Caenorhabditis elegans: one gene and its partners. The protein of the gene in region 1 purifies or fractionates together with the protein of each later gene. This does not show direct contact. Each region holds a gene or a part of one and is shown in the gene's direction. Other genes may lie near its edges.

Evidence for each region.
Region 2: the proteins of Y32F6A.5 (region 1) and sar-1 fractionate together in Caenorhabditis elegans (co-fractionation; one large-scale study listed by BioGRID). This does not show direct contact.
Region 3: the proteins of Y32F6A.5 (region 1) and twf-2 fractionate together in Caenorhabditis elegans (co-fractionation; one large-scale study listed by BioGRID). This does not show direct contact.
Region 4: the proteins of Y32F6A.5 (region 1) and Y53F4B.39 fractionate together in Caenorhabditis elegans (co-fractionation; one large-scale study listed by BioGRID). This does not show direct contact.

Annotation. Positions count from the first base shown.
Region 1 is NC_003283.11:10,447,599-10,455,217, reverse strand, and holds the start of Y32F6A.5 (Retinoid-inducible serine carboxypeptidase), read left to right. Parts: upstream 1-1,612; coding exon 1,613-1,900; intron 1,901-1,991; coding exon 1,992-2,222; intron 2,223-2,272; coding exon 2,273-2,383; intron 2,384-3,090; coding exon 3,091-3,729; intron 3,730-3,780; coding exon of another isoform or gene 3,781-3,849; exon of another isoform or gene 3,850-3,883; intron 3,884-6,180; coding exon of another isoform or gene 6,181-6,469; intron 6,470-6,519; coding exon of another isoform or gene 6,520-7,036; intron 7,037-7,090; coding exon of another isoform or gene 7,091-7,142; intron 7,143-7,185; coding exon of another isoform or gene 7,186-7,337; intron 7,338-7,619. Other genes in the region: F22E12.1 (BPTI/Kunitz inhibitor domain-containing protein), read left to right, coding at 1-888, 940-1,025.
Region 2 is NC_003282.8:4,511,389-4,514,882, reverse strand, and holds sar-1 (Small COPII coat GTPase SAR1), read left to right. Parts: upstream 1-1,563; 5' UTR 1,564-1,570; coding exon 1,571-1,616; intron 1,617-1,661; coding exon 1,662-1,781; intron 1,782-1,979; coding exon 1,980-2,045; intron 2,046-2,096; coding exon 2,097-2,333; intron 2,334-2,392; coding exon 2,393-2,505; 3' UTR 2,506-2,990; downstream 2,991-3,494. Other genes in the region: ZK180.8 (uncharacterized protein), read left to right, coding at 3,300-3,443. UniProt on the Caenorhabditis elegans protein: Small GTPase that cycles between an active GTP-bound and an inactive GDP-bound state and mainly functions in vesicle-mediated endoplasmic reticulum (ER) to Golgi transport.
Region 3 is NC_003284.9:16,444,348-16,451,851, forward strand, and holds twf-2 (Twinfilin), read left to right. Parts: upstream 1-1,849; 5' UTR 1,850-1,970; coding exon 1,971-1,995; intron 1,996-3,538; coding exon 3,539-3,761; intron 3,762-4,417; coding exon 4,418-4,538; intron 4,539-4,613; coding exon 4,614-4,751; intron 4,752-4,798; coding exon 4,799-4,882; intron 4,883-5,247; coding exon 5,248-5,398; intron 5,399-6,080; coding exon 6,081-6,202; intron 6,203-6,405; coding exon 6,406-6,543; 3' UTR 6,544-6,672; intron 6,673-6,864; 3' UTR 6,865-6,989; downstream 6,990-7,504.
Region 4 is NC_003280.10:15,108,624-15,116,175, forward strand, and holds the start of Y53F4B.39 (Beta-lactamase-like protein 2 homolog), read left to right. Parts: upstream 1-1,520; 5' UTR 1,521-1,528; coding exon 1,529-1,626; intron 1,627-3,544; coding exon 3,545-3,676; intron 3,677-3,730; coding exon 3,731-4,003; intron 4,004-6,754; coding exon 6,755-7,241; 3' UTR 7,242-7,552. Other genes in the region: wshc-4 (HEPN_LA2681 domain-containing protein), read left to right, coding at 232-385.

The DNA of each region.
Region 1 (7,619 bases):
TTGAGACAGTTCGAAACCCTGATGGTAGCAATGTTGTTCGACAAAGAATAAAGTGGACAGCTTATCCAAAAGGAGCAAGAATTCCTGAACATGTTCCAGTACCTCCCGTGGCTCAACTTCCACCACTTCCACCAATGCAACAAGTGATTCAACCCATTTTGACCACTCAGGCAGTTTATACAACTGAGGAACCATACATTCCATTGATCACGACAGTGCCAACCCATGAAATTTCCCGTTTAAAACATGAAGAAATGCAAAGAAAGTACAAAGAAGATCTGGAAAAACGGCAGGAAGAGCAAAAGAGACAACAAGAAGAACATAAGAAAAAGATTCAAGAGTTGAAAGCTGCACAGCAAAGAGAACGTGAGAGAATGATGGTTGAAAGAGAAAAAGCTGAAAATGATAGAAGATTGAAATATGAAAATGAAATGAAGCAACGGGCTGAAGAGTACCAAGCAAGAATGAGATTAACCACGATACCAACTCCAACCACTACAGTTGAAACCACAACTGAATATGTTCACGTTCCATATCCAACTCTTCCTGTCAATGAAGTTGTATACGATGCACATATCAGAAAACCAATCCCAACAAGCAAGTCAATTGCCGAACCAGTTGAACACTTCAGGCCAATTATCGAAAATGTGACGCCTGCGTCTCTTAGTCTCGAAGATATAATTGCAATGGATAATCAAAGATCAGATTATGAAGATGAATATGATGTTCCAATGGACTTCCCAGATACGGAAGCACCACCATTGACAACAAGACCTCCACCAGTAACGGTTCGAAATACTCGACCACCTCCTCCACCACAAATACCACAACCAAGATCTCCGATTAATGGAGGAATGCCTTCAATTGTTCAACCACCTAGCAGTGGAAGTGAGTATTATTGTGAGAATTTCATTTTAAAAAATTCAAATATATTTCCAGAGAAATCGAAATTGTTCGCACCACCATCAAGTGAAGAGTACACTCAAGAAGTTGATTTTGATCCATACGTAGACTTTGTCAAATAAGAACTAAAAACTATTAAATTTAATTTCTAATCTTCTTGATACGTGTATATTTACATTTTCTAGGTTTGAAATTCTCTGAATTGAACATTTTGGAAAAAACTGTTATCGGGAAAGAAATCTTGAAATTTTAAAAATCTTACCTCTTTACTTTGTCCTTGAGGATCTTCATCTCTATCCTTTCCCGCTAGTATTCCTAGATTTTTTTTCCAATTTTTTTTCAAGTTTTGAGAAAGTTAATCCTAGGAGACCGTTCCAGATACATGGTGCCAGCGGCACGTTAATAATTCATTTTCCCAATTTTATTGATTTTTTCCAGAATAAATTCAATTTTTGTGATGATTTTATTAAAAAATATTTTTTTTTAATGTTCCCGCCTCTTTCTTTTCATTTCTGATAACACATACCACTTTTATCGTCATCGTCTCCACCGCCCTCCCTCAACAAAAAGAACTTTACAGCTTTTTGATTTATTGGCTCTTTGCGGTGGCTCCAATTGACAAGACGGCAGTCTGATGGTCACGGGATATTTGTTCTTGAATCTTCTGCTTCCTTCTTTATTTTTTCTTTACATTTATCTCATTTTTCAGATGAACTTGTTGTTTATTCTCTCATTAGTGAGCCTTGCTGCGGCGGGTGCTAGCAATTCAGTTAATACTTGGGGAGGTGTTATTCAATATGATGAAGATTGGGGATATGTTGATATTCGTACAAATGCTCATACTTTCTGGTGGCTTTATGCAGCAAAGCCTGCCAATTCTCAACGTCCACTCTTTCTCTGGTTGCAAGGAGGACCTGGATCATCTAGTTCCGGTTTTGGAAACTTTGAGGAAACTGGACCAAAGACGTTGAATGGATCTGACAATCCAGCTACTTGGGTACGATATTTTCTGTGATTGTTATTTTAAACACTGTATTTTTTTTTTGAAATCAAGATCTAAATTGAAATTTGAAAAGTTAAAAATTTAGCTTCAAGTTGCTGACATGGTCTACGTGGACAACCCCGTTGGTGCTGGTTTTTCCTATGTCGACGATAAATCTGCTTACACCACTGAAATCACTCAAATTGGAAAAGATTTGCTCGCGTGGCTTCGCAAATTCCTTGCTCTTCATCCAGAGTATCGTACTCGTCCGTTCTACATTTTCTGTGAAAGTTATGGAGGTAAAATGAGCGCTCAATTTGCTAAAGTCATAACTGATGTAAGTTTCGAGGTAACCATAAAAAAAACTAATTAACTGTAGTTGTTTAGTCTATCAAAGCTGGAAGTCTTCAACTCAACTTCCGCGCTGTTGCTCTCGGAGATTCATGGATTTCTGCAATGGATTATGTCAACACCTGGGGACCATATCTTTATGCTAATGTGAGTTCATATGATCATAGGACACTTTTATGTGTTCCATTCCCCAAAAAAATTTGTTTTGTTCTAGCAAATAACATTACTATTTAAATATTTACAGTAAGATTTAAAATGTGATAGTTATCACAAAAAAAATCCAAAAGCAAATCCGACTATCTCGAGACGTTTTTCTGAATATCGTAGAAACTTGTTTTTGAGACTTTGACAATCCACGAGAATTATTCAAAAAAATATAGTTACTTCAAACTGTTACGTCCTTTTACGTCACAGCTTTCAAAAGTCAAAGACGAATAGGGCTATTTCAGTCTTTTTGCTTCATCGGTTTGAGACTTTTTCATTTGTGATAGGCATAAAAAATTAAGACAGGAGACACTGAGAGCACTTTTTGAAATAATTTTTTTTCAACAACAAAAAAAAAGTTGTAATATAATATTGCAACATATTTCAAAGAATTGCCCCACTGATGATACTCTTTTTTAAAAACGTATGTGGCGTATAAATATACAAACCACGCATTCCGGGAAATTCATTAATACCCGAATAACTTGTGATGTAGACAAACGTGCATATGTTCTTATGGTTTCATTGTAACGACACAAAAATGAAAGTACGGTTCTGACCAACAAAAAGGTGACAATTCGTCAGTTTTTCCATGTTTTAATCCGCTTATCAAACACGTAGAAACCCCAAAATTTCAATTACGTTTTCAGTCTTTCCTTGATGACCATCAATTGAATACAGTTAATGCTGAAGCAGCAAGATGTCAAGCACTCGTGGATCAACAGAAATGGGAAAAAGCAACGAATTGTTGGGGAAATATGGAGAATTTGATAAGTGTTGAGACGAATGATGTCTCTTGGTATAATATTCTGAAGAAAGGAGATACTGATGACTGGAGTTCATCTGCAATGAGATCAAATAGAGTGATGACTTCAACTCGTAGATTGTATAATCGATTCGTTGCTCCACAGAATTTGGATTCTCTTTCAAATTACATGGATACAGTTGTTCGCAAGAAGTTGGGAATTATTCCGGATAAGGTGAAGTTCGGAGGACAAGCTGGAGACGTGTTCAGTTATCAACAAGGAGACTTTATGACACCAATTTGGAGTACTGTAGATCAGCTTCTAAAGGATGGATACAATGTGATTGTGTATAATGGAAATGAAGATTTAATTTGTAATACAATGGGAACTGCTGCATGGGTTAATCGGCTCACTTGGGACGGTGCTGCTACATTTAATTCAACAACTAGACATTCATTCAAAACTCAATCATTCCCATTGGCTGGATATTACAAGACTTACAAGAATTTGCAATTCTGGTGGATTCTCAGAGCAGGACATATGGTAAATTATTTTTAATTTTAGAAAACATTATTGGAATAATATTAATTTCAGGTTGCATATGATACCCCAGAATCTGCAATCTTCATGTTGAAGGCCGTGGTCAAGCAGTATAATGCATAGAACTTTCTCATTTTCTTTATTTATAAATGTATTCTTTCTCTCTGTATGATTTCAACCAATGTAAGCTGGACGTCTTCTCTTTTTATTAACCATTATTATCCGTTCACAAAACATGAGCGTGCACAAAAATGATTGCAAACTTTCTGAACCGAAAACTGTAAACAATTGAGAGATGATTAGAAATGAAAAGGTAAGTTTGGACGGGGATGAGAAGACATCGTGGACTGATGTATGAATGAAGGGAGAAGTTTATGAGACTGTTGGAAAAAAGGATAAATGACTTATCGTGGATAAAACGACAAATCGAGAAGGAAGAAATTGTGGTAAAAAATGAGGAAAAAGAGGAAAGAAAATTGGAATGCGTGCCTTTTTTGGAGGAAGAAACGAGTGTGATTCCTCCGACATTCTTTCTTGATTTTTTATCTGTGTATCTGAAAGTGTATCTGAAAGTGTATCTGAAAGTGTATCTGAAAGTGTATCTGAAAGTGTATCTGAAGTGTATCTGAAGTGTATCTGAAGTGTATCTGAAGTGTATCTGAAGTGTATCTGAAGTGTATCTGAAGTGTATCTGAAGTGTATCTGAAGTGTATCTGAAGTGTATCTGAAGTGTATCTGAAGTGTATCTGAAGTGTATCTGAAGTGTATCTCAAGTGTATCTCAAGGATAGAATATACTGTGAAGCCAGAGAGTAAAATATTCTGTGAAGCCAGAGAGTAAATTATGCTGTGAAGCCAGAGAGTAAAATATTCTGTGAAGCCAGAGAGTAAAATATTCTGTGAAGCCAGAGAGTAGAATATACTGTGAAGCCAGAGAGTAAAATACAGTGTGAAGCCAGAGAGTAAAATATACTGTGAAGCTAGAGAGTAAAATATTCTGTGAAGCCAGAGAGTAAAATACAGTGTGAAGCCAGAGAGTAAAATATACTGTGAAGCCAGACAGTAAAATATACTGTGAAGCCAGAGAGTAAAATATTCTGTGAAGCCAGAGAGTAAAATATTCTGTGAAGCCAGAGAGTAAAATATTCTGTGAAGCCAGAGAGTAAATTATGCTGTGAAGCCAGAGAGTAGAATATACTGTGAAGCCAGAGAGTAAAATACAGTGTGAAGCCAGAGAGTAAAATATACTGTGAAGCTAGAGAGTAAAATATTCTGTGAAGCCAGAGAGTAAAATACAGTGTGAAGCCAGAGAGTAAAATATACTGTGAAGCCAGAGAGTAAAATATACTGTGAAGCCAGAGAGTAAAATATTCTGTGAAGCCAGAGAGTAAAATATTCTGTGAAGCCAGAGAGTAAATTATGCTGTGAAGCCAGAGAGTAGAATATACTGTGAAGCCAGAGAGTAAAATACAGTGTGAAGCCAGAGAGTAAAATATACTGTGAAGCTAGAGAGTAAAATACAGTGTGAAGCTAGAGAGTAAAATACAGTGTGAAGCCAGAGAGTAAAATACAGTGTGAAGCCAGAGAGTAAAATATACTGTGAAGCCAGAGAGTAAAATATACTGTGAAGCCAGAGAGTAAAATATTCTGTGAAGCCAGAGAGTAAAATACAGTGTGAAGCCAGAGAGTAAAATATACTGTGAAGCCAGAGAGTAAAATACAGTGTGAAGCCAGAGAGTAGAATATACTGTGAAGCCAGAGAGTAAAATACAGTGTGAAGCCAGAGAGTAAAATATACTGTGAAGCTAGAGAGTAAAATATTCTGTGAAGCCAGAGAGTAAAATACAGTGTGAAGCCAGAGAGTAAAATATACTGTGAAGCCAGACAGTAAAATATACTGTGAAGCTAGAGAGTAAAATATACTGTGAAGCTAGAGAGTAAAATATACTGTGAAACCAGAGAGTAAAATATACTGTGAAGCTAGAGAGTAAAATACAGTGTGAAGCCAGAGAGTAAAATATACTGTGAAGCCAGAGAGTAAAATATACTGTGAAGCCAGAGAGTAAATGCAACTAAAAAAATGTTTTTAAATTATTGGAAAATCTAGTTTTCCTGATGGGAAAATTTTGCATTTTTTTGAAAATACTTGAGGCAAACTTTTATTTCTGCTAGATTGTGACTCTCTGAGATCCGCTCCACACTACGAAAAAAGCGTGGATCGCAGAGGCCGTCGAAGGCACCTTGCCGCGCCGCAATAAAAGCCGTACCTCAAAGGATTCACAAAATTGATGTTCACTCTCTGTAGGAGTTACTATGTCATTTAAAATATCAAAATGGCATGTAGAAGACACAAGAATTTTTCAGAAGTTTCATTTCAACAAGCCACAAGGAGAACTAAAGAAGGCCACAGAGAGTAGGACATAAAAAAAAGAGGATGGGGGGAGGGGGTTACAGTTCTCAAGTATTATCGTCTAGATCCATTAAAATTTGGAAAAGCTTCTCAATATGGACACAGCAAGTTCCAATTCTCATTTGATCCGTGGCTGAAAAAATCGTGTTGACCGCATGCATATCAATGATAGTTTGTTTGTCTCCTTGGAAGTAAGTTTTTGGATCATTCGACATCATTGTAGCTTTCACAACTTTGTGTGTCCCACATATCAGCTCCAAATCAGGATTCTGTCCAGAAAGGTGATTTTTTACGAAGAACAATGGATTGCAGATATTTTTGGCTTCTTCATCTCCTGCAAAGAATACAATTACCTTTCTGTTTCGGGGTTTCTCTCAAACTAACCTCCTGTCTGCACAGCCTTTTGAATGGCGGTGTAAAATCAATTTCAACAGATCTATACTTGATCAAAAATGATCTTTTGATCGAGTAAACCAAAGTAGTGATAAGTTCCTCTACCAGATCTTGGAAATCGTTTAAGTTAATATTGCACATTGAGATTTCTGCAGTTAACACCAACGGTTGTCGTTGAGAATTCCATTTGAAGACTCGTTCAATTCCTTGAGTGACTAGCATTCTGTTATAGAGTTCAGTCATTTTGCTGTATACATAATCAATGTTAATAGACTGTCTTTTGTTAAATGATTCCAAAGCGATCGGATTCATTATCACGCGATTGGTTTCCAGGAAGAGCAATTGATAAAGGTATTTCAGTGTTTCAATATGGAGTTTGCTGACAATCAAGGCATGTTCTCTGGCTTCATCGGTATTATTCAATTCTTCCAGATTCGGGAAATCAGCTTCGATTTCTTCAGCTTTGAATGAATCTCTCACTTGTTCGAGATTATTGCTTTTAGTCAATCTAGAAATAAAAATAATTGAATACACAGAAGACAGGATAAAGTGGGAAACAAACCCTTCAGCAGTCACTCGATACGATTCCTTCGTTGTTTACAATTCTTCCAAATCTAAATGAAAACCATTAGAAGAGAACTCTGATTTTTGTCTCACTGCTCGTAATAACGTTGTGCTTCAAACGCTTGGCCATCGAGAATTGCGTATTCGCGGTAAATGTGTTTCATTTTTGTACGGCCATTTTGATCTCTCAGTCGTTCCAAAAGGAATCTGATCAATTTTAGGTTGTCTTCCTTTGAAATTGTCATTTCGGGACTGAAAAAAATTGTGATCTTCCAAAGTGGAAACAATATCAATCCTGAGACTGAAAAAAACGTTCAAAAATAATATTACCGACACAAGAGACGTCAACGACGACAGAGTAGATGTTGTTGTGGACGATATAATCAAGAAATGACTAAAATACAACAGTTCATTTACGCATCGACTTCATAATGATGTGATGTTCACGTCGAGTATATATTAGTTTAAAAAATTGATTAAATATTTTATTAATATTATTTTTATTTGATACGTTTATTTGAACGTGA
Region 2 (3,494 bases), on another chromosome or scaffold:
AAAAAATATTTTTACAGGTTTTTGAGTTAAAAAAAAACGAAAAAATCGTAATTTTTGAGGCGAAAATACGGTACCCGGTCTCGACATGACTATCTTTGTTAAACACAGAAAGGTGTACTCCTTTAAAGGAGTACTGTAGTTTGAAACTTTTGGTGCAGCGGAATTTTCATCGATTTTTTGCAGTTTTACTCGCGATTTGCTAAATAATATTTATGTGTGTTTTTTTTTATAATTGACCAGCCGGTGTCGTTCGAGCCTACGGCTCGACCTACTCCGACTGGCTTAAAATAAAGTTCGAAAAAAAAAATAAATGAATGAACTTGATTTTTTTTTTGAAAATGAAAACTTTCAAACTAACGTGAATTTTGCGTGTTGGCATAGCCTACATTGGACGGTAGGAAACTCTACTTTATATTTTTTTATAATTGATACACCTATTTTTAAGAAAAATATGAGAAACAATGAAAATTGTGCAACAACAGAAGTTTGAGACTACAGTACTCTTTAAAGGCGCACACCTTTTTGCAATTAACAACAAATTGTCGTGTCGAGACCGGATACCGTATTTTGCCACAAAAATGACAAACCTTCGGGTCGCGGTATTAGTTTCTCCCATGGTATTAAAAATTTCATTTTTCAGTTTCTCAAAAATTGAGCGGATTTAAAATCGAAGAAATATACCGTAGTATTTAAAGGCGCACGCTTTTTTTGAGGCATTAAACAAATTATCTGGCGTGTCGAGACCAAATGTAGCTGAATAAGTTTTACTATTTTATAAATTCAAATTTCAATGAATAATTTCAAAAGAAAAACATTTCCTTCACGTTTTCTTTTTTATCGAGAAAAAACCATGCCATAAAAACTCTTTTCAACATTTAAATTTTTTCGAATCAGTTTCAAAAATCGATTTTTCGAAGTGATCTGAACATTTTTCATTAAAAGGAGTTTTGGCGCGTAAGTTTTATTCTTTAAACTTTTTATTTAAACGAAAATTTAATTTTCCACCGATTATTGTTGAAATTTAGGAGTTTTACATTGTAAATGCCAATTGTCTTTCCATTATGTTTCGTCTCTACTTAAAATTTGTGATATTTGTCGAATTTTGCATGCCTTTAATTGTTATTTAAAGCTTAAGCGTATTTTCTCCATTCCGCACGGAAAGCGCGCCTTTCATCCTTACTGACGCATTTCCCGACGCTGGCGCACTTCTCGACCATCTGCCACTTTGGACACGTCAGCGCTTTCCGGATTCACTTTAAATGAAGCTTTCCTGGTCCCGAATCGCCGATTTTCAGAATTAGAATTTTTTGATTATCACACTGCGTCTCTTTTCTCTTTTCGGGTACACGTGGAAGCGCGTGTCGTTTTGTCTCTGTGTAGCACGCTACACAGAATGTCTCCGCCTCGTTATTTTCTCTCTTTTCCTCTTTTCTCACCCCCATTTAACCACTAAAAGTTCCCACTTTTGATCTATTTCAGTTCATTCATTTATTCTCTAAAAAATGCCTGATTTACCCGATTTTTAAGTGATTTAATTAATAAATTAATTGCATAATTTTCCAGATTCAATATGTCGTTTTTATGGGACTGGTTTAATGGAGTGCTCAACATGCTGGGTTTGTAAAACTGAATTTTACCATCATAAAACCTTTTATTTACAGGATTGGCCAACAAAAAGGGAAAATTGGTATTTTTGGGACTAGACAACGCTGGAAAGACTACACTGCTTCACATGCTTAAAGATGATCGTATTGCTCAACACGTTCCCACTCTTCACCCAAGTAATTATCGCTTTTTATTGATTTTAAAAGCAATTCCGGTGTAGTTCAGCCTGTTAAAGGAAGGAATCTTACTTTAAAAAAATGATATCTTTCTCTTCTTTACAGCTGATTGACCGGTTTTGCTTATCATCTGTCAATTGCTAAAGATGATGACGCAAAAAACTAGTTGTGAGAATTATTGAATTGATTATTTTTCAGCATCTGAGCAAATGTCACTCGGAGGAATTTCGTTTACCACATACGATCTCGGTGGTCACGCGCAAGGTATTCACTCGTTTTTTCGGTTTTTTAAACTAATTTTCTTCATTTTTCCAGCACGACGAGTCTGGAAAGATTACTTCCCTGCCGTGGACGCCGTCGTCTTCTTGATCGATGTGGCCGACGCCGAAAGAATGCAAGAAAGCCGTGTTGAGCTCGAATCGCTGCTCCAGGACGAGCAGATCGCTTCCGTTCCAGTGCTTATTCTCGGAAACAAGATTGACAAGCCAGGAGCATTGAGTGAGGATCAGCTCAAGTGGCAACTCAACATTCAACATATGTGCACCGGAAAGGGTTGGTTTTTGATTGGAAATTATCGCTTGAATTTATTTAAAAAACGAAAATCTTTATAGGAGACGTTTCCCGCAACGAAATGGCTTCTCGGCCGATGGAAGTGTTCATGTGCTCTGTTCTTCAGCGACAAGGATACGGAGAAGGAATCCGTTGGCTTGGACAGTACCTGTAAACAGATCAGTTCTTGAACTCTTCTTCTTCTGCTCACTCCTTTTTTATTCCATTCTCGAAAAAAGCACCATTCTCTTACATATTGCGCCGCCAACATTTCCCATAGATTTGTTGTACGTACTTGTCATTTTCCTTCGTTTTTTCTTTTGGGATCCTTGGGATCCTCATCATTAAACTTCTCATGCCTTCGACGTTTGTGCATAAAAAAGCAAGCCGCAATCCCATTTTATTTTATTTATAAATTTTGACTTATACGGACTTGTAAAAAATTCACGGCGTCCTCATTGTTTTTCTATTCTCCACAAAAATTTATTCAAACCTTTTCCTCATCTATTCCGTATTTATCACATCACTATCATTCAAACATCCCCATTTTTCTTCTCGTCCCACTTCATTTCCCCCTCAGATTTTCTAATTTTTTATTTCGGTTAGTTCTATGTGAATGAAACAGCTTCGGAATGTTGCAGTTCGAAGTTTTCCCAGAAATTATTCTCTTATCACGCTACTCACAAGAAAAAAAACGTCACGCCATATAGTTGTTTTCTTTGTGGCGAGCTTTAACTATAGTTATAACTGAAACTGAAAAACTTGGAATTTGAAAAGAAAATTGTTGATCGGAGTACATTTGATCACAAGGGCCTGTAGTCAGGCGACATGGTCAAACATTCCATTATGTGGTTTGTGTTCCAAGTGGTCAAACGGACACATTTCTATTTCAGGTGCGGAAAAAAAATTAATTTCAGATCAGATAATTGGCTATTTTTCCAGAAGAACCTTTTCGTCGTAGTCTCACAGATGGCTTCTGCAGTACATTTGAGTGCACACAGCTCACTCCAATTCTCTATTCCTCCACTCTCTCGACGCAATGGTGTTCGTGTGCACCCACTACGAATATCCAATAATCAGGGAAGGGAACCTCCTTTATTCATAGAATTTTAAATAAATATTTTGAATTTATCATCATCTATATTTTACTTGTAAACTCTATTA
Region 3 (7,504 bases), on another chromosome or scaffold:
AGCCGTCTGTTTGTTCAGTGATGTGGTAAAGCGGCATAGGAACATTCTTTGAGTTTTGATCCAAATAGGAACAGTTCTTATGTTTGATGGCAGTCTAGGCAAGACAGATTTTTATAGAGTTAATTTTAAAAGAAACATGAAATTAATAAAAATACATATTCTGATAGCAACAACTATTTTTAATGTTTTCTTGAGAATTTTTGGTTGTCTTCTAATTTGGTGCCTCAATACTTCAATCTGTGATTCTTTTGGGCTTTAATAAAAAACAGTGCCGGATAAGAAATCCAGGTGTACCTAATTATAATTGAAAGTTAAAATTGAAAAACATGAAACCGAAGTAATATAAAGTTTTTGAAATTTCAAATAAAGTCTCAACTTTTAATAAATATAGGTTTATACGGTCGAATTGAAAATAATAAATTATTAGTTGTTCACCTAATTTTTAGTAAATAGTGGCAGGGAATTGATTTTACTCACAATAAGCTTTATCCTAAAATCAACTATTTTACCATGTTTTTCCTAAAATCAACTATTCAACCCATTTTATTTTTTTTAGAATTAAATTCATTGAAAATTAATTGATTAGGTTTATTATATTAATTAGTTAATTAGTTTAATGCAAAATGAAACATCAACTTGGTAAGATGTGTTCCTTATCACTACTAACCTTGGAATGGCAATATATTAACTTTTAAAAAAAAGTATGTTAACTGCCTTTGAGAGAATTTTTAATACATATACTAATAGTAAAAACATGGCCAATTTACCAAAATCCAGAACAATATTAGAAATGGAAACTTGTGAACTAAAAGAAAATTCTATAATAATTAATTTTAGTTTCAGACACATTCTGCATATTGGTATAGACATGTAGTTGCTTTACAGTTTATTTCAAAATTTAGCATTCTGAACATTTTGCTGTAATTCTTATTAAGTAGTTAGTTTATTTAATTTAGGATGAAGCTTCAAATTGGTAAGATATATTCCTTATCACTATGTACTACTTGGCAAAAAATTTTCAGCTATGAAATTGAAGCAAGAAGCATCTTTGTTCTATATACAGTCTATAATATTCAGTAGACCTAAACATTTCTATGCTTTTTTCATACAAAAATATTAATTCCAGAATAACACTTTCTTATCTAATGCATTTCTTTTCAAAACATCCCACTGTTCTGTTTGCACTGCAAATTTTCAAAAGAACGTGCTTGAAGTCTGTTTGACATTTATCACAGCACACGTAATTGCGTTTCGAAAACCTCACCGCGGTCACAAGTAACGTAATGCACAGCACATATGTTCCGTCATCTTCGATTCTTGGTTCAGTTTCGAATTTCCGAATTATTACACCGACTGACACACACACACACACACACATACAGAAACTTAGAGACCGACACGCAAGCCTGCCGCAAAAACATACACTTAAACTTTCTCTTTTTCATGTTTTGTCATCGAGAAGATGTTTCAATTACAGTGAAAAAATGTAAGGTTCAGAGGTCTAGAAAAGTGTTAATAGGCCGTCTCCACACGATTTCTGTTCATCTTCCTCTATTCCTTCTTTTCCGGGAGAAGGACAGAAGGAAAGAGAGAGAGAGAGAGACTCCAACAAGCGGGCACCATCACGTTAAGGCAAACGAGACGAGGCCTGACGTTTTCTGCACAATAGAGGATGAGGGTTGCCAGACGTGACGGGCAGTTTGTAAAATAGCATGAGGTTTTGAGAGATAGTGTGCACGGGCAGCCGAACATTTGGATGGGAAGGAAGATGGAGACGGAGGAATAAAGGAGGGAGGGGAAGAGAGGTTGGCAGAGAAATTGAGAAAAAGAGGGGCGAAGGCGATGGGGGGCACTAGTGCGTTGGTTTTGCGTTGTGTTGCGCGCAATATTAGCTGCTCTCTTCAACCCGTTGTTATAAATATACATATACATTTATTTTTTTTCCCGGAAGAGGAGAAGAAGCTACTACTATGGCGTGCCAAACTGGAATCAGAGGTTAGTGGTTTATAAGGGGGGTTAAGTGGGTGTTGACTCAATATTTGAGTTTCAACTAGTTTTTTGTTCGCTCACTATCCAAATAGTACCGTTTCATACCAAATATGAGGTTTACCACCCAAACTTCACTTTTCTTTTCTGCAATGGTTGGCGACGCTGAGCCAGCTGTCGATAGCAGTTCTGTGCAAGGTATTCGGCATTTTTATAAGACGTAATTTTTTGGAAGAAAAACTATATTTGATAGAACGTTATATAAATTTTGATAACCGTATTATTTATCTATATAAGTCTATTTAATGTTGTAATTTTTTGGCGAATTATTTGAATAAAATGATCATTGGAAAACGTGAGAACATCAAAATTCAGTTTTTGGGCTTGAACTAATGTTTAAGTCACAGCTACACGGTAAAAAATATCTCCAATTAGAAAAGCAACCCGGACCGTAACTTTCAACTTCCTTTAAGAAGTGAATAATCTAATTTTTTGAAGAGTTTCTTTGAAACTATTTTTCTTGAGATAATCTGACACACTCCTAGTTTCCAAACAATTTCCACTATAACAATTGTTTTTCGAAAGTAGTTCCTTCTCCAACCCGGCACTTTTCATGTCAATTCCGATTCAAATTTTCCTCCATAGTACCCCCCCCCCCCTTTATTCCAGGATTATTTTCCCATCGTCCTCAAAAGATTCGAAAAAAAAGAAGGTCTTAGTAAAGTGAACACCCCATCTTTTGGCGTTTACGCATATAACCTTGACGCACAAATTCTTCATCCTTTCTCCCCCCCCCCCACCTATTTTGCATCTTTCAAGGGAAACCCGGGGGCCGATGGAAAGGTTCAAATTCAGAACAATGATCCGCCTGTGATATAAGGATGAGGGGTTCATCGGGAGAGGATAATATTACACACGCGTTGCACTGCCTTTCAATGTTGACAATGGATATGGGGGGGGGGGGGAAGAGGGGAGAAGGAGGTAAAAGGAGCTTTTGATTTCATCCCCCCATCCTCGCCCCAACAATTCCAAATCCCGGCGTAGCCCCCCGACCGTTTGTGGAGAGAGTGGTGCATTCCGTTAATAATGAAAACCTGCCAGCATGCGGGAAATAGTGCGCGCATACAGTCGGAGGCAGCACGTCCACCCCGCGAAAACAAACTGAAAGAGTCCTCATTCTCCATCATGTTCATTCATTTCCCGCAAATAGTGTCTATCACCTGCTCCGCGCACCCACAGAGCACACCGCACCCCAGTGGGCCACTGTTTCATAAAAAAAGATGAAGTGGGATGATTTGGATGTACTTTTTTAAATTCAGTTATTTTTAAGATTATCTCTAATGACTTCTTCCTAGTGACTGAGCACTAAAACTAAAACACAGGCTACCCAGCAGTCCCAGACACACTTCTCTTCCAAACTATACAACATCAATTCTTTTGGGAGCAGCCAAAGGCTCATACAAAAAGGAAGGGGACATTTGGGAAAAAAAAAGAAGCATTGGCGTGGGGGGTAGTAGAAAGAAAGAAATGACGAGAAGACGACGTTTTGCAGCTAACGCGGCACTTCGAAATGCACTCAACTTGGGAAAACAGGCGAAACTGAGGCTCATCAAGATTGTGGTGAATAATGAGGAGATGACGCCGAACTACGAGTTTGCTGGAACCGCCAACTGGCGTGACGACTGGAGGGCTTGCTTGCCGGACTGTGTGGATGCCTACGAGCCGTGCTTCATTCTGTTCCGGTTGAATACCATCACAGAATGGGTTTTGATCACGTAAGTTTTTTTTTAATCAAAAAATCATATAGTTGTCATGAATTGAACCACTTAAAGATTTTAACAAATAGTTATATTTAACTATTTGTTAAAATGTAAAAATGTTGTTGCACCAGTCTTGAAATTTGTTTCCAATCAGCATACGTTCTAGCTTCTGAACAAAATCTGCCAGATTTTTGGTGAAAGTCGAGTTAAATTTTATAAGTACAACCTGATAACAGCCTAAAAAACTTTCATAGGCTTTTGTTTTAAAAAGCTTAAAAAGTTTATTGCTGTGCAGCAGGAATATTTTTGCCCGTACACCAGGTACCAGGAAGAAAGCATTTAGAAGTTATAGCTTTGGACTAGCATCCGTTTTAAAATTGTGATATGGTTATATACAAGACTAAGCAAATGTTTTTTTTTTCAAAATTTAGAACTCATTTTTGAAAAGTCTTGTTCGAATTTAGAAACCTATCCTCCTTTGTACCGTAACGAAAAAAAAACTGAAAATAATAACTTTTCCACACACGGTCCTGCTTACACCGTAGTTACTTCAATTGTCAAAAAAAAAAACAATTCCCTATAATTTCCTACTTCACTCTATTTGATTGACTTCCAACACATGTTTCCATTCTGCAGTGCACAATGAAAATATATAGTTTTTGTTTTTATAGGTTTGTCGACGATCGTGCTCCAGTCCGTGAAAAGATGCTTCTGGCCGCCACATGTGCTACATTCAAAAGCGAATTCGGACAGTGTTACATTGAGCACGAAAAACACGTCACTGATCTGAAGGTTCGTGGAGAGTTATTGGGAATCAGCCTGTGAAGAAACTTGCTAAGAAAAAAAAGGAAAAAAAATTAATTTCAGGATCTCACGCTGAACGCGTTCGAGGCGTGGCTCAAGGCAAAAACCGAGTTAGGACCAATGAGTGAAGTTGAACGGGAGCTCCACAATGCTCAGCAAGAAAGAGCTGCAATTGCACATGCCGGACCACAACATATGAAGGTATAGGAAATAAGTTTTGATGATATTCAGTTTCAATAATATTGCAGGGTGTCGCGTTCCCAGTGGATCGTAATGCTGAGGAAGCCCTCCGGCAGTTGGCTAGCCAGAAGCTCAGTTTTGTTCAGCTCTCGGTAAGCTTTTATACATTTGAAAAAGAACACTAAAGTCAAATCTTAATAGAGAGACTACATATTATAGAAAAACAATGAAAAACATTAATTAAATTTTACGAATTTTTTTTATGCTGAATAATGTTTACAATTGTTCTCAATTTGCATTTATTTGAACAATTTTTTCAAAAAAAAAAACGCATAGTGTTCCAAAATACGTTAGTTTTCAATATTCTCGATACTCACTAATTTGATATTTAGAACTGTCAAATAACAATGTAAACACTTAACCTATATTTTCAACGCGTATATTTCTAAAACCGGAACACCGATTAAAATTATAATATTCAAACTGCAATAAATTGTGGATTATCAAATTTTTCCAGGTCGATACCCTCAATGAAGCCATCAAATTGGAGGGAACCCTCGAATCATTGGAACCATCGCAGCTTGCATCAAAAGTGCCACGTGACAAGCCACGATACACCTTCTACAATTTTGATCACACGTGGGAAGGTGTTCCGCAACAATGTACTTGTGAGTCGTTTTTTTTTTTCATTTTACACTTAAAAAGAATGTAGTCTATATAAAAATTAAAATTGTGGAATTAGGAAAAAACATTTACTTAAACTCAAAACTTCCGCGTCTGTCACCAATAATCTTAATCCTAAAATTGGGGCAGACGCTTTTTTCTCTCAACCAGTCCGAGACTAGCCTACAAAGTTTATGCAAAAAATTGACAAAATGCAGAAAAATGAACGAAAATAAATACTCTATTTCAATCAGCTATTTGGCAGATAAAATATTGAAAATGTATACGATCAAGCATGTTATTTGGTTTTTAGGATTTTTTTAAAGATTTAATTTTAATTAGTTCATTTATGTACTCTAAAATTTCTCACTTCGGCAGTTTATAATTTAGCTCAATTTTTAGTCGTGAACAAATTTTAATTTATAAATTCTACATAACTTATATGAAAAATAACCGTTTTCCAAATGTTTGAAAGTACATGTGCACCACTTTCATATACCCCGTTTTATTTTCACATGAAGCTTATATTTTTGAAATGTGATTTTTCAAAAGTAACGAAAAATGTTTTGTTTGTTAGTGAAATTTTTAAAAAAATTCGAAAACAACGGCAATTGAGCTATGTACTACCAAATTGAAAAATAGAGTTAAAATTAAAAGTAATGTTTAAAAATAAAAAAATAATTGCAGTGTTTATCTACTCGTTGCCATCATCTGGAAGCTCAATTAAAGAAAGAATGCTCTACTCAAGTTGTAAGGGGCCATTCCTCAGCGCTGCTCAGAATCAATACGGAGTTGTCATTACGAATAAGGTGAGCATTTTTAGCTGTAAAAAAATTGATGCTGAAAATTCAGTTTCTGCAAAAACGGAGTAACAAAATGTTCAAAATTAGAGAAAAAATTTTTTTAAAAAGGTTAAAAAACGATGTTGGATAAAATATAATTTTTTTTAAACTTGAAGTTTACTTCTCTAGTTCTTTAATCATGTTTCCCTCTTTCAAATTAAATATTGCAGATGGAGGTAGATGCTCGCGACGATCTTTCGGAGAAAGCACTGCTCGAAGTCATTCACCCCCTCCCGGTTGAAGCCCCCAAACAGTTCTCCCGTCCAGCTCCACCACGCGCCGGTCCACGTCGTATCACAAAAGTCTGAACGCTATATCTTTGACGCTACTCATTCAACTCATTCATTTCTACCCAACTATTTTTATTTTATTTCCTAATTTTATAATATTTCTCTATGCATTCAAATTGTAATTAACATCCGCGGTCATTGCATACTGAAACGTCGACCCGAACAAAAACCAAACAAAAAGAAAAAAAAAGTGAAAGAATCGAATATTCATCGTCTCATTTCCCGTCCCGTTTCTCTTCACACCTCTCTCATGCTCTCGCCGCTTCTTCATCTTTTCTCCTCCTCTCCCCCCCCCCCCCCCACCTTCTTCCCAACCTCTCTTTGTTCCTTTTATGAAATGAAATTAACTGTTTCTAGAAAAAAAGAGTAACTTTACCAGCTTTTCGACTGCCTGTACACCATCCAAAAAAGGACCCCAAATTTTCAAAATCACAATTTATCAAAAATCGTTTGAATAAAGATCAACATTTGAGTGTTTCATTCGTCATCTGAAATATCAAATCTGTTTGTGTGCTATATGTATTGAAAAGCTTATTGGAAAAAAGTGTCCTTGTCTTGTCCAGATTCTTATCTTTTGTCAGTGAAATCTGTTTGGTTTTTTGAGAAATCCCAGAAAAAAATCTCAAAATCTTCTAGGCCCTTTTTAAAATGCAATCAAAATCATTTCCTAGAAATTTTCACATTTCTGGCAGTTTGATAGCGTAAGATTCCATTATCACAATGATTCAAAAAAAAGAATTCAAGTTCAATTAATAGGATTAACCGGTGAAAACAAGAGTTTTTGTTTTTTTGCAACCGTTGATTTATACAATTCTCTACGTCGTCCATTGTAATAATGAAAACAAATTGACAATTTTTTGCAAAGTTGTGACGTTAGGCAAGTAAATTTTGAATTTTGTTGTACACAATGTGTTTTTATACACTCGATTTTAGTTTTAAAAAATGTGTTTAAAGATGGTCCTCGTCCTCCCGTTCTCCC
Region 4 (7,552 bases), on another chromosome or scaffold:
AAAAAATTTACAAATTATTTTTTCGCCAATTTTCAAAAATTGCAATTTATACTTACTTTTCTTGGTAAAACCAATATTAAATTGCGGGAAGAAATGAGCTTTATAAAAAATTCCGAATTTCTCTCAAATTAGTAAAAATTCCAACAAAAAATGTTTTTTTGAAATTTTTGAAAACATTTTTTCAAAAATATTTTTTTTTTTAAATTCTCAATTCTACCTTCCTATTTTCAGCACAAAAGAGCACGAAATTCGTTCACAATCGGAAAGCCGCGAGTACAGTCAGGCAGTACAGTTGAAAATCGAACGACTTCAGACGGAGCTCAAAATTCTCACAAATTTCAAAATGAATTTCGGCATTCAGCACACCATTTTCACGATGAATTAGGTCAAACTACAGTATCCCCCCCCCCCCCCTCACAAATCGTTGCGGGACCCACATTTTTGCTCAAAATTTCATTTTTCTACCGTCTAACACTTGACTTTTTTTCCCCATAATACCGATTTGTTCGTTTCTGTTGTTATCAAATGCTACAGTCTAGCCACATTTTCTCATTTTACTCCCCTTATATTTGTAAAATTGTTTAGTTTGTTTTTTTTTCGCCTGGAAATCGATTTTTTTGCGAATAGTTGAAAAATTTTGGAAAATTTAGAAAAATTCAGAAATTTTAGTTTTTAGTAATTTTTTTAAAAACTTTTTCAGTCAAAAATACTGAAATTTCCGGAATTTCAAAAAAAAATTATAGAAAAGTTTCTTAAAATTATAGCGTTTTGTTGAAATTCCCGATAAAATTGGTAAATCCTGGAAATTCTAAAAATTAAATTTTTTATCCAAAAAATTCAGCTAAACAGAAAATTGTTTGAACTTTTTAATTAAAAATTCCCGATTTTACAGAAAAAGTCAAAAATTTTGAAAAATCGTGAAAATTCTAAAAATTCGATTTTTTTATCGAACATTTTTTTGAGAATCCCAAAAAAACTGAAAAAAATAAAAATTTTAATTAAAAATTTCAGATTTTAGCGAAAATTCTCAAAAATTTTGGAAAAATAGAAAAAATTTCAACTTTTTGATTAAAACTCCCAGATTTTTGCAAAAATTCTCAAAATTTTGGAAAAAAAACTGAATTTTTTCTCCAAAAAATCCTATTTTTGTTAAAATTCTCGAAATTTTTCGGAAAAATCCTAAAATTTCCAATTTTTATCCAAATTTCCATAAAAATCGATTTCCAGCGACTTTTTATCATTACCTAGTTTTTAGTTTTTTTTTGTTTTGAATATTTTTTTCTTTTTTTTCCTCAGCTCCCAATTTTTAAAAACTATTTTAATTTAATATCGTCAATCCTCTCCTGTCACCATTGTTAATGTTTTTTTTTGAAATTTTAATTAAATTTCTACCATTTTTAATCCATTTTTCTCTATCCGATCGATTTTCCATGAAAATTGGTCCTAAAACGACCTAATGACCTATATTTCTGAATCACCCAGAGGCGGGGGCGGAAACATAGATGAGTATCTCGTAATTCAGAACACGATGACGGCGTACGTTGGACGAGCCTGGACGATGCTTCGTTTTTATACGGATTTCGCATACGCCGGTGTTGCCTATTTGGTTAATTCAAAGGCACATAGGTTGGTTTGTAATTCGGGGTCTTGGCGCGAAAGTTTTTTTTTTCAAAATTTCGGCTTTTTGTGTCGATTTACGAGCTTTTCCAGGCTTTCTCGACGATTTTTTTTTTGAATTTTCATAATTTCGGTTTTGTGCCGATTTACGAGAATGACAAAGAAAATTAGGAATTTCAGCTCTTTGTGTAGTTTTACTAGCTCATTAATTCTTTGGTAAATTTTGCCTCTTTGTGTCGATGTACGAGCTTTTTCAGGATTTTTCCACGAATTTTTTTTTGATCTTTTTCCTGAATTTTCGAAATTTCGGTTTTCTGTCGATTTACGAGAATAGTAGAAAATTAGAAATTCCGGCTTTTTGTGTCGATTTACGAGCTTGTGTTCAGTTATTTTTTAAATTCAAGTCAAAATTTCGGATGCCAGTGTAGATTTACGAGCTCATTTTTTGGTGAATTCTGACTGCTTGTGTCGATTTACGAGGTTTTTTCTGACTTTTAGAAATTGTTGTGTTAATTGATAATATTTTTAAATTATTCAATTTTTAAATAAATAATTTAATTCCTAAATTCTGAAAAAAACCAGTGCTCGTAAATCGACACAGAGATGCGTAAATCTACAATGCCATGATTAAAAAAAAACTATTTTCCAGGATGTATGATATTGTTTCTCATGAATCTGAGAAAAATTGAAAAAAAATTCCGCTCGTAAATCGACATCCAGCTGCGTAAACCTACAATGATACCAAAATTTGTTCCCTAATAAAGACATTTTTTTTTCTGAATTTTCTCTGAATTTTTTAAGAAGACTACTTTTTTTTGAATATTTATTAGTTTTAGGGGGCTTTAAAAAATTTTTAACAAACATTGTAAATTGCCGATTTGCCGGAAATTTTCAATTCCGGCAATTTGCCGGTTTGCCGGAAATTTTCAATTCCGGCAATATACTGATTTGCCGGAAAATTTCAATTCCCGCAATTTGCCGATTTGCCGGAAATTTTCAATTCCGGCAATTTGCCTTTTTGCCGGAAATTTTCAATTCTGGCAATATACTGATTTGCCGGAAAATTTCAATTCCCGCAATTTGCCGATTTGCCGGAAATTTTCAATTCCGGCAATTTGCCTTTTTGCCGGAAATTTTCAATTCTGGCAATTTGCCGGTTTGCCGGAAATTTTCAATTCCCGCAATTTGCCGATTTGCCAGAAATTGCATTGTACTATACAATTGCATTATCAATACATTCTGACTTATCGCCCAAGTCACAAAATTGCAAAATTCCATTGGCTGACACCTAGAAATTGGCAAACATCATCATTTAAGTGTAGCCAACTGACTACAGTGTTCCGAAAATAAGGGAAATTTAGAAAGAGAGAGAGAGATAGACGAAACAAGTCACAGAACGATTATCGATCACTTTTCAGTTGGTTTTCTTTAATTCTTCATAGTTTCCCATTTGAAACAATGTCTCGAAATTCAGTAATTTTTCCGGAAAAAAAGTTAAATCAAATTGGTTGTAAAGTTTTGTATTATTTAAAAAAATTGTGCATTTATTAACAATCAGAACCTGTAAAAGTTGGCAAAAATTGAAAAAAAAGTCTCCGTAAATCGACAGCTAGCTGCGTAAAACAACACTGATTGGAGTAGATTTAGACTAGATTATGACTAGATTTAGGAATTAAAGAATTAAATTATTTAAAATATATCGAAATAACCGAAACTAAAACTGAAATCTATTGCGCAACATAATTGACGCGCAAAATATCTCGTTGCGAAAACTACAGTATCTCTTTAACTGACTAATGTAGCGCTGGTTTTGATTTTCGGGCAATTGCAGTTTCGAATTTACTCTGCAAAAAAAATCACAAATTTTGCATAAAGCACTACACTTTTTTCAAAACTTCTCTGAAAATCTCGAAATTCTTTTTTTCAGAGCCATGCCAAGCCTCACTCACGTGGAGCCCATCGAGAAGCTCTCCGACGCGGTCACCAGAATTCTCGGCCACAATCCCGGCCCCTTCACTCTTCAAGGAACTAATACATATCTACTGGGCACTGGTGCAAAGTAGGCAGCAATATTCTGAAAATTTTTAATTTCTAATCAAATTTTTTCTTTCAGAAAAATCCTCGTGGACACTGGTGAGCCGAACGTCACCGAGTACATTTCGGCACTGAAATCAGTTCTCGCATCTACGAATTCCCACATTGAATATATCGTTATTACGCATTGGCATGGCGATCATGTTGGTGGAATCGATAATATTACTGATGAGATTTTGGATAAAAAGAAGATACCTATTTATAAAATGAAACGGGACAAGGATGAGGGTGTCGAGAGATTTCATTATGTTGACGATGGGTTTGAGGTTGCAGTTGATGGAGCCACGCTGAAGTGAGCATTTATCATTAGAGAATTGGTTTTATTAGAAAAAAACCGTAGTAGTACTGTAGGGATACTGTAGTTCCGCTGTAGGTGCACTGTAGGTATGTACTGTAGCATTAAGGAGGACTAACGGTTCGGACGATTTTGACCGTATAGACCCAAAATGAGCTCAAATGAACGAATTTCGTAATGAAACTGCTCAAAACAATTTTCAAAAATTTTTTATGGCGTTTCAAAATTTTGAAAAAATTGAAAAAATGAATTATCGTCCTTTATTACATATATTGGTAATTAATCTCATTTAATTTCGTCGATTAAGGTACATTTAAAGCCGTTAGGTAACCAAAAATCATCGAAATTGGTTACCTATCGGCTTTAAATGTACTTTAATCCACGAAATTAAATGAGATTAATTGCCAATATATGCAATAAAGGACGATAATTCCAAAAAATCCAACTTCGGACAGATGTGACACGAAAAAATGGGAAAAACTCATGATTTTAGGTAAAATCAGTGTAATTTTTTCAAAATTTTGAACCGCCATAAAAAATGTTTGAAAATTGTTTTGAGCAGTTTCATTACGAAATTCGTTCATTTGAGCTCAATTTGGGTCTATACGTTCAAAATCGTTCGAACCGTTAGTCCTCCTTTAGTAGTACTATAGTGATAGTGTAGGGTTACTGTAGGTATATTATAGGAGTACTGTAATAGTGCCGTAGGGGCACTCTAGTAGTACTATATGGGTAGTGAAGGAGTTTTGTAGAGGTACTGTAGGTATATTTCGGTTGTACTGTAGTAGTATTATAGGGTTACTGTAGGAGTACTTCAGGGGTACTGTAGTGATATTGGGAGGGGTGGGTACTGAAGTAGTGATATTGGGGTACTGTAGTAGTACTGTATTTCTAGAAACAAATTAATTGTGTCTTTTTAAATGAGTAGTGTTGTAGGGGGTACTGCTAGAAATCGATTTTTTGTTGTGAAAATTTGGAAAAAATTGGAATTTTCTGAAATTTCAAATTAAATGCAATTTCAGTTACCATCTGTTATTTTTAAGAATTTTTGATTTTAAATTCCTTTGAAATTTTCTATATTATTTTTTTTTCCGGGACGATTTTTTAAATTCCTAATTTTTGTCGAAAATCTCCGAAAATAATAAGGAAAAAACCTTAACAATTAATGTTCCTCAAAAAATACCTTGAAATCTCAGTTTTTTGTTGAAATTCTCAAAAAAAAAAAGGATCCATATTTTTTTTCAAAAAGGAATTTATGAATACAAAATTTTTTGAACGTTTGTTCCAAAAAAATGTGTTAGTACAGTAGTGCCGTAATGGTAGCAATACTGTAGTAGTAGTAGTACTGTAGGGGTAATGTAGGGACATTGTAGTAGTATTATAGGGGTACTGTAGTGGTACTACGGAGGTACTGTAGAAGTTCCGAAGGTGTGCTGCATTAGTACTGTAGGGGTACAGTAGTACAGTAGTACTGTAAGTGTACTGGTACTATAGCTATTTTGTACGTGTACTGTAGGTATATTGTAGTTGCACTATAGTATTATTATAGGGGGTACTGTAGTGGTATTGTACAAGGCTGGGATTTTTTTTTGAATTTTTTTGCCATTGTAACGAAAAATTGATTTTTTTGTTTGTTTTTTTAAGACCGAAAAACCAAAAAAAAATGCATTTTTCACGGTAAAAAAATTAATTCAAGTATCAAATTTTTTGTTGGTTTTTTTTTGATTTTTCCCAAATTTCAATTTTTCTTGGTCCAAAATCAAAACGAAACACTTATTGTTTTTTGATCCCAGCCCTGAAACTGTGGTATTAACTGTAGTAGCATAGCTCTTTTTCAAAAAAATTGAATTGCCATGAGAAATTTTTTTTTGGAAATTTCAAGATATATCAATTTAGCCTTTCTTCGAGTTATTTTAAAAGTGGTGTAGTCGAATTTTTTTAAATTTCTTTATTGGACTCAAAATTGTCTGAAAACACCGAATTTCATAATGAAACTTCTTGAAAACTTTTCAAAAAAAAGTTATGGCCTCTTGAAAAATGGCCTAAAATTAGTGAAAATTTGAAATTTGACCGACTTATCATTGTCGCAGCGGCTGGAAACAATTTTTTTTTGAAATTGTCGTCTAATTTTGGGTATACAGGTCGATTATCTTGCATTTTCAGCTTTATTAAGGTATTTGAAAGTCGATGGACGAAGAGAATTGATGAAAAAAATTTGACAAATCTCTTCGTCCATCGACTTTCAAATACCTTAATAAAGCTGAAAACGCAAGATAATCGACCTGTATAGCCAAAATTAGACGACAATTTCAAAAAAAAATTGTTTCCAGCCGCTGCGACAATGATAAGTCGGTCAAATTTCAAATTTTCACTAATTTTAGGCCATTTTTCAAGAGGCCATAACTTTTTTTTGAAAAGTTTTCAAGAAGTTTCATTATGAAATTCGGTGTTTTCAGACAATTTTGAGTCCAATAAAGAAATTAAAAAAAATTCGACTACACCACCTTTAAAATAACTCGAAGAAAGGCTAAATTGATATATCTTGAAATTTCCAAAAAAAAATTTCTCATGGCAATTCAATTTTTTGAAAAAGAGCTATGCTACTACAGTTAATACCACAGTTTCAGGGCTGGGATCAAAAAACAAAAATTCGGTGTTTTCAGACAATTTTGAGTCCAATAAAGAAATTAAAAAAAATTCGACTACACCACCTTTAAGCTAGTCCATCTTTAAACATTAAATTTCCAGACTAATCGCCACTCCAGGCCACACCGCCGATCACTTCTCTCTGTGGCTCCAAGAGGAACGAGCATTGTTCAGTGGAGACTGCATCCTCGGCGAGGGAACTACCGTCTTCGAGGATCTTCATGACTATATGACTTCACTGCAAAAGATCAAGGATCTCAATGCGACAAGGATTTATCCGGGTCATGGTCCGGTTATCGATAAGGTCGTGGAGAAGGTTGACGAGTACATCGAGCACCGAATGAAACGAGAACGCGAGATTATCAAAGTGCTCAAAGAGCACGAGGAGATCACCAGTATGGATGTGACTAATCAGGTTTATGCTGACTCGCCGTGGGCTGTACGACTGGCTGCGTTGAACAATGTGAAGCTCGTGCTGAAGAAGCTTTGCAAGGATGGAGTCGTTGAGAATCCGCATTTTGAGACTTTCAAGTGGATTGGAGGCAGTAGTAGTGGAGAGGAGAAGAAGAATGAATCGTCGAATTTGTAGAAAAAAAAAATTATTTTTTGGAATTTTAAATATTTAATTCGCTCTTTATGTGTTTTCAAAATGTAGAATTTACGATGTTAATTCGAACTTTTCATAGATTAAATTTAAGTTTTAACCTACCTATATTTGAGAATTCCAAAAAATCTCGAAAATATTCATTTTTTAAATTCGAAAACCATATTTTTTCGAATTAAAAAATTCAAACTTCTGGAAAAAATTTGAAATTTTTAATTTTTTTTGTTTGATTTTTCAAAAAATTTCCGGAAAATTAATTTCAGTACCAATTTTTTCAAAATTTCGAGTATTTTTCG